Linked DNA regions of Ovis aries. The protein of the gene in region 1 interacts with the protein of each later gene in a pairwise test. Links are inferred from orthologs where the notes say so. Each region holds a gene or a part of one and is shown on either strand. Other genes may lie near its edges. The genes, in order: PPP2R1A and CSDC2.

The links.
Region 2: the proteins of PPP2R1A (region 1) and CSDC2 interact in binary tests that used the Homo sapiens proteins (3 or more experiments, as listed by UniProt). The two-hybrid records come from large-scale screens. The link is inferred for Ovis aries from reciprocal best matches to the Homo sapiens genes PPP2R1A and CSDC2.

Annotation. Positions count from the first base shown.
Region 1 is NC_056067.1:58,174,744-58,178,385, forward strand, and holds the end of PPP2R1A (serine/threonine-protein phosphatase 2A 65 kDa regulatory subunit A alpha isoform), read left to right. Parts: intron 1-181; coding exon 182-336; intron 337-1,586; coding exon 1,587-1,729; intron 1,730-2,395; coding exon 2,396-2,487; intron 2,488-2,616; coding exon 2,617-2,633; 3' UTR 2,634-3,035; downstream 3,036-3,642. UniProt on the Homo sapiens protein: The PR65 subunit of protein phosphatase 2A serves as a scaffolding molecule to coordinate the assembly of the catalytic subunit and a variable regulatory B subunit.
Region 2 is NC_056056.1:218,462,606-218,467,015, forward strand, and holds the start of CSDC2 (cold shock domain-containing protein C2), read left to right. Parts: upstream 1-1,362; 5' UTR 1,363-1,458; intron 1,459-4,410.

The DNA.
Region 1 (3,642 bases):
GCTACGTGAAAAGAAAACCCTACATCTAGCGCACAGCCCTCTCTTTTTCTCTGCGAGTTTATGGGTTCTCGTGTGGCCTGGTACCTGGGGCTGCTCTGCAGGCGGGAGCAAGTGTGACTGAGTCCCCACCTGCGTCAGTCCTTCACCTCCTGAGTCTCCCTCTCCCCTCCTCCTCCCACAGTCTATGCCATCCGCGAGGCGGCCACCAGCAACCTGAAGAAGCTGGTGGAGAAGTTCGGGAAGGAGTGGGCCCACGCAACTATCATCCCCAAGGTCTTGGCCATGTCTGGGGACCCCAACTACCTGCACCGCATGACCACACTCTTCTGTATCAATGTGAGCGCCCACCGGCCCCCACCTCTCCCTGGGGGAGGGGAAGTAGACGGGAGAGGAGGAATGGAGAAGGTCCTCGGGGGAAAGCTGGCTTGGGAGTAGGAAAGTGATGGGATCTGGGGCCGTAGGGGTTAGTCCTTGGGGAACTGCAGGCTGGAACTTGGGGCTCCCTGGTCAGAGTATAGGGCCTTTGCAGGTGGGGACCTGCGTGGGGGTGACTGGGGAAATTTGGCCAACAGAACAGTGATGGCCAGGTCTGTCTGAGCACCCCCTCCTTCCTCACAAAATAAGTGATATTTATGATACAACGGTTAAAGCACAGTTTCTAGAATCAGACCTACTGTTTAATTCTAGCTCTGCCACATATTGACTGTGCACCTTGAGAAAATTACTTAGTGCCTCAGTTTTCTCACCTGTAAAGGGTTCATACCAACAATCACAGCCCCAGACTCCCGAGGCTGTGACATTGATCTGGTTATACAGCTTAGAACAGTGGTTCATATGTAATGTATGGTGTGTATGTAATATGCATATGTATAGTGTGTATGTAATACATAACGTATGGGGTGTGTGTGTGTGACACGTAACGTATGCTGTGTGTATATATGGTGTGTGTGTGATATGTATGCTGTGTGTGTGTGGTATGTAATGTATGGTGTGTATGTGATGCATATGTATGCTGTGTGTGTGATATGTATGCTGTGTGTGTGATATGTATGCTGTGTGTGTGATATGTAAATGTGTGATAAATAAATACAGTAGAAAGTACTGATAGATAAATACAGTAGAAAGTACTTGTATGTAGTCACGTAAATAAACCATACACTTAAATAAACTTAAAACCACTTAAACCACATAACTACAAATTAAAGAATGAGATTTAAAAGTTAGCATAAAATTGTTCCGGTAATCCCTTCCTGTGCATCACTCTGGAGACCACAGCACTAAGGAAGGGATCCCAGGGTCAGGAATCCAGTCCCATCCCCAGAGGATGAGGGAGACTCTGAGGAAGGGAGCTGGGGTGGGACAGTGTGGGCTGGGGGTTTTCAGGGCAGGGAGATGGTGGAGTGAAGAGGGTGTTAGGGAACCTGGGAACTTGTGGAGAATCAAGGCCCTCAGGCTGGGCGAGTCTGAGCTCAGAGTCCCCCTGATGCTCAGCTAGTTTTATCCCCAAGCCCGATGGCCACTAAGTGTCCCGGTCAGAGGGAGCGAGGACTCTGGGGAGTCACCCTCTGCTGCTCCCTGGCCTGCAGGTGCTGTCCGAGGTCTGCGGGCAGGACATCACCACCAAGCACATGTTGCCCACCGTGCTGCGCATGGCCGGGGACCCTGTCGCCAATGTCCGCTTCAACGTGGCCAAGTCCCTGCAGAAGATCGGGCCCATCCTGGACAACAGGTGAGGCCTGCCCCTCCTCCACACACGATTGCATTTGTATCAACTTCAAAAATGGATCAAGGGGGACGCAGGCGATGGAAGTGAGAATGGTGGTTATTTTGGGGGAAGGGCCTTGGGACGCCTGCACCTGTCTGTCCAGGACACAGCTTCACCCCTTAGCTTCTCTCTGAAGACCGCCTTCGTCCCCCAAACAGCTGACTGCCGCTGCAGAAGCATTTCCCTCGGCCCTTACCTCCCTGGGCCCCTGTAGGGCCGAGTCCCTCCCTCAGGTGCTCGCCTCTCCTGTTACTTGTCAGCAATTTGATCTGCCTTCTCCCAGTCTGGGCTCCGTGTGGGTGAGAGTCAGGAGGGTTGGGTTTTCCACTGTGTCCACACCTGATGGGCAGTAGGCCTCGGTATATAATGTTACACAAATACAAGGCGTCACGTGGCCGAGGCTCAGAGACTTGAGGGTTCTGGGTTTTCTGCCCCACCTTTCCACACCACCTCACCTCCCTATACCTATTCTGGGCCCCCGAGGCCTCTGTCCTGGTTTGTGAGACTTTCAGCCTTCCAAGTACTGGTTGCTCTGGCCCTGAGAGCTCTCGTGCACCTGTGTGTCTGCGTCTGTGCAGACACCCAGCAGCCCCACCTTTCTGACCCCTCGCCTTTCCCCTCTCTTCCCAGCACGCTGCAGAGTGAGGTCAAGCCCGTCCTCGAGAAGCTGACCCAGGACCAGGACGTGGACGTCAAGTACTTTGCCCAGGAGGCTCTGACTGGTGAGGCGTCAGGAATCCGAGACGCTGGCAGGAGCGGGTGGGGGTCTGCGAGGGCGATGCTTGGCCTGGGAGCGGCTGTGGGCAGCGGGCTGGCTGCCTTCTGACTCCCGTCTCTTCCTGTTCCCCCAGTTCTGTCTCTTGCCTGATGCTGGAAGAGGAGCCACCGCCAGCCTCCGGTGTCCGCCCTCCCCCTCCAGGCTCCTCCCTGGGGGGACAGTGGGGGCCTTTGGCTGTCACTCCCTGTGCATGGTCTGACCCCAGGTCCCTTCCCCGGCACGGTTCCTCCCTCAGCCTGGGACATCCACCCCCCCACGGGGCTGGGGGCGCACAAGGTGGGACAGAGCAGAGACCCTGGGAGGAAGGGGCCACTCCCGCCCTTTGGGGTGAGGCGGGAGCATCCCAGGTCGCCGGCTCCTGCTGCTGTATGGGGACCCCTCCCCCATCTCCACCTCCCTCCCTTCCTCTCGGTGGGTTTTTTGTGTCAATTGTGCTGTTTTTATTTTATTCCCTTGCCCCCCTTTTCACAGAGAAATAAAGGTCTAGAAATAGCTGGTCCTCTGGTCTTAGTCACTAGATGGAGAAGGGGGCACCACCTCAGGGCCCCAGCCTTGCGCTTCTGTCTGGCGAGGACTGACTGGACTTGCCGCATCCCTGTCCTTGCGAGTGAGGAGGATTCCCTGGGAAGCCGATGGGAGTGCCCCTGGCCCCAGGGGCCAGCGGAGTCCTGAGGTGCACTTAGGTTTCACAGAGGCTGGCTGAGTGTGTGGTGGTTAGAGCAGGTGCCTTGGTGCCAGACTGCCTGCGTCCAGATCCTTGTCCTTCCATTAATAGCTGTGTGGCCTTGAGTAGGTGCCCAGTCTCAGATTGCAGGACTGTAAAATGGGGTAACAGACTCTAGATTGAGCGGGGCAGGAATGAAGACTAAACGAGGTAATACACACAGCGTGGGCAGTGATTGACGCGTGAGAAGAGTGGGCCAGGAGCTCTCAGGATCATCAGGGCCGCGGCAGAGCAGGCTGGGGACTGTGGCTAGACAGAACCACTGGTTCTCTCTCAGTGTCTTTTCTTCTGTTTCTTTAGTACTGATTAGACACCTGTATTTTCAGTTGGGCACATGGCTGCCTGGATTCAAGGCATTTTCACAGGGTCTCTTGA
Region 2 (4,410 bases), on another chromosome or scaffold:
TGGTGGCCCTGCAGCAGGGACTCTGTGCTCCCTACGCGGGGCCGGGGATCGACCCTGGTCAGGGGGCCAGAGCCCACATGCCAACACCAAGACTCAGCACGACTAAATAAATACACAGATATTTTAAAAATATGTTTTAAAAAGTCACTGCCCTTGTGCCAGAGAAGTTCTCTTCCTGCAGTTCTGACCACATCATTTGTCCATTGACTCCTACGTCACACAACTCACTGGCTCGCCCTCAGTGCCTCTTGCTAGCCTCTTTTATTAGGTATTTGTATCTTTCTGGTCTCCCTTAAGACTCTCTGCTCCTTTTTATTTTAATAAGACTTCTTTGGAAAATGCCAGGCTGCGTCAGCTGTACTAAAGATATATGAAGGACCGACTTTCTTCTTTCCTGAGGAGAAGGGATGGGTAGGGGAACGAGGAGCCAGTCTTTGGGGGGGGCCTCCTCCAGCCAGGCTTGTACACAAGCTGCCCTGGAGCCTCCAACAGCCCTCTCAGCAAGGGCCTCCTTCTCTGCTTTCCAGAGCTCATGGGGGACCAGAGTCGTGAGAAGCTTGCCCAGGTCACCCAGCTTGGAAGCGCTAGGGCGGAGACTCATACCCAGGCCTTCCCAGGCTGTGGAGTCTGTGTGTGTGTGTGTGTGTGTGTGTGTGTGTGTGTAGCTACCTTTCACTCCCTTAGGGGCCTCTTCAATTCAGTTCAATCCAGCAGAAACAGCTCAGGGTCTGCCACGGGCTAGACAGAGGAAGACATGAGTTCTTGCGACTAGACTTGCCCACATGGGTTCACTGAGGAGGAGCCCAGAGCCAAGGGAGGAGGGAGCAGTGGAGGGCAGGAGCCACTCTGCCGAGGGGACAGAAAGGAGAGGGAGGCTGGCGAGTCCCTGGGGCCCTGCTGCGGCCTCCACTCTTCCAGACTCACCGTCCACCCCACAGCCTCCTGGCAGACACACAGACAAACACACACACACACTCACCACCCTCCTTGCTCTCTAACTGCCAGGAATGCAGGCTGTCCCCAAGCTCTTCCCCCTTGCATTCCTCAGCAGCTACTCCCACCTGGCAGGGCAAATTATACCCTGGCCTGGCAATAAAAGCCACTTTCCAGAAAAAGAAGCTTCGGGGCCCCCGAGAGACGCAGCTCACTCTCTCACATCGCCCGTGTCTGACTCAGGGGCCCGGTGTCCCTTTAAGCAGGGAGTACAAATTCCCACCCCGGTCCCTCCCTCCTGCTCTTCCTGACGTCAGGAGGAAGGCGTGTGTGAGTGAGTGAGGGGCCTGAGGTGCCGCATGCTCACACACACACACACACACACACACACACACACACACACGGAGTCAGACACAGAGCACATCTCTCAGACCCATCCCTGCTCATCAGCTCCAAGCACGCCAGAGAGAGGCCGAGTCTGAACGGCTGCGGGAGGCTGTGTGGGACCTCGGCCGTCAGAGAGAGGTAAGGGGCTAGACCCTGGGGCCTCAGGCGCTCCGGCCCTGGAAACTGGCTCTAACGATGGGGGGGCAGAGGGAGGTGCAATGGCGGGGGTGGGGTGCTCTGGGAAGGTGGGCCCCCTCCCCTGGGGCTGGCCCAGCCCAGTCCAGTTTACAGAGGAGAGGCAGGCATGTGTGAGCGTGGAAGAGCCCACCCGGCCATCCCGCCCCCCTCCCTTGCTCTGCCTGGCCCCCAGGGGAAGCTGAGGCTGCATGGTTCCCTGTGAAAGGGCGTGGGTATGTGTGTGTGTGTGTCTGGGACTTATGTCTGGCTCAAGAGGCAGAGAACAGCAGACACCTGCCAAGCTGTAGCCGCAGCCTCCTGTCTGGGAACCAGAGGGGAGAGAAATGACTGGAGAATAATTGGGTTTCTACCAGACGCTGAAAGCAGAGTGCATCAGGGAGCGACATGGATCGTTCCCCCTGGAATTTGGGGCTGGGGCCAGGGAGGGACCGTCAGGGGTGGTGGTGGGGGGGCGGGGTGGCCAGCAGACAGTTGGACCTGGAGCAGCTGTCTCATCCTGACTCTGTTTCTTCCGCGATGTGTTGGGGATAATTGGGCTAATTGGCTTGGAGAGGTGGCTCCACGCTTTTATTTCCCCCTTGGCCTTGGAGCCACCCCTACCAGGAGCTTTTGCTTCTCCCAAGGCCACTCCTCTCCCCTGCAGGCTGGTCTCGAGCTGACCTCCACCCTTGCCAGGGCGCAGCCCCTGGAGGGCAGGGGTGATCAGCCAGGGTCCACTGGATCCTGTGCCGTGGGATTCATGTACTCAGGCAGCCTTGGGTAGTAGTGCCAAGTCCCCAAGTGGCCTGACCCTGGCACAAGGAGTCCAGGCAGAGATAAGGGGTGATGCTGGCACCCACAAGGGAGACAGCAGGTTCCTGCCAATCTGCCAGCCTGCAGACTCTTCCCAGGGAGAGGGGAGGGGGCCGCGGGGAGCGAGAACAATAATAAATACAGACTGTGAACTGCCTCATCCGCTGGGGTTGGGGGAGGGGAGGAGGAAGTGCACCCGGGTAGAGGGTGGGCCACCTTTCCGAGAGCTCCAGGGGAGGCCTCTCCCTGGGAAGGGACTGTCTGCAGCCCCCTGGGGGATGAAGCGCCTTTCCTGCAGGCCTGGCTCTGTCTCAGAAGCCTCTGAGTCCACCAAATTCTGGGTATCTCCTCCCCTCAGCGTTTCCTTGAAGTCTTTTCCAAAAACATCTATTTCCCATATCTGCCCCGCCCCTCTGGGTCTGTCTGACCCTCCTCCAAAAACAAACAACAAAAAGAAAAGACAGGTGTAAGTAGGAACCAGCTCACAAGGGCCTGGGAGAGGCCAGAGGACAATCTTGGCCACAGAGGTTTCTCCCAGGGATGGGCAGTGGTCACGGAAGTCCACTGGCCGTGGGGGGAGCCTCCCTAGGAGGAACTCGGGGGTCCCACACTGCTGGCTGGTGAGGGAGGGAAACCCGCAGGCTGGTCTGGAGGCAAGCCCCCAGGAGTGGCACCAGCAGAGGGCGCTCAGGGCCTGGCCGAGCTGATCATATTGGTCACAACTAGCACGGCCAGGATCTGAAGCCTGGTGGGAAGAGGGCTCGGGGCAATTCAGACCTTTGTCCACGCAGACTATTAGGATGGGAGACAAGAAGCAACGGGGCGGGTCTTCCCCCCTGCCCCAAGCCAGCAAAATGATGGGCACCAGGATAAGTGGCCTGGCATTTGAGTTCAAGCTCAGCCACTCTTAAGTGTGACTTTGACCCGTCCATTCCTCTTTCCAAGGAGGGCTCAGAGTGGGAAAGCAACTTGCCCACGGTCATACAGCCCGGCGGGGCTGGGATGTGAGGGCTCTCTCATGGTGCCCATCCTGGCATCCATACCCTCACTAATGCCCACAAAGCCCAAAGGCCTTGATCATAGGAGCCCTCCAGGGCAACCTGGGGACATGACAAGGAGGAGAGTTAAAGGGTCTCAATTAAGCTCGAGTATTGGCTGGGGCAGTGCCCCCCCCCCCGTGCCTGCCCCGTACACACACGCGCACACACACATGCACACACACACACACACGCTGTGGGAGAGGGAAAGAACCAGGTTTAATTAGGTCACCTCCAGCTGCTCCAGTAGCTTTGGCACTGACGTATTTTAAGGAGTGTCTGAGAGGCTGGGAGAGGGCAGGGGCACTGGGGAAGAGCCAGCTTCTGCCTGGTGGGCTTGAGGCTGTCTCCTCGCCTTCCTCAGGCCCACCCTGGGTAAGCCCTCAAAGTCCGGAAAGCCCTTCTGCCATCACCCCGTGTTCCCTGTCCTTCCCCCTAAGCCATCAGACTCACGCCTCCCACTGTCTGTCCCTTCTCAGTGGGGGCTTGGGCTGGGATGCTTTTATGGAGGGTGTTGTTTTTAAGCTTGCCGTAGTCGGCAAGTGACTCACCCAAGGTCACGGTCTGAGTCAGCACAAAGCCAGGAATAGAACCCCAAGCCCCGCTCTTCCTTCTGCAGGGGCGGCGGGAGCTTGCAGGGACGCGCAGGTCCTCCCTCCCTCCCTCCTGCCTGAGGCCTCTGTCCCAGCCCCCCCAACCAGGATGCTAAAGTGCAGGCCCCAACTGGCTGTGTGACCCCAGCAAGACTCTTCACCTCTCTGGGCCTCAGTTTACTCCTCTGAAGAATGGGGTTATAATGATAATTACCTTGTAGGGCTGTTGTGAGGAATAAATGAGGAAAGGGGGCAAAGGGCTTGCACACCTCTTGGCACGTGGTTACTAATCCATCGATGGTGGCCATGATCTTGTTGTGACCAGCCACCCTGTGTTCTTCTTGTCTGTCTGTTCCCCCCGGACCTGGGCTCTCTCAAGGCAGGGCTGTCTCTTCTGTTTGTTGTCCCAGTGCCTGGCAGTCACACTCAGTTACGCGTGTTTTTGACAACCTCAGAGGAGAGGTGGAGTG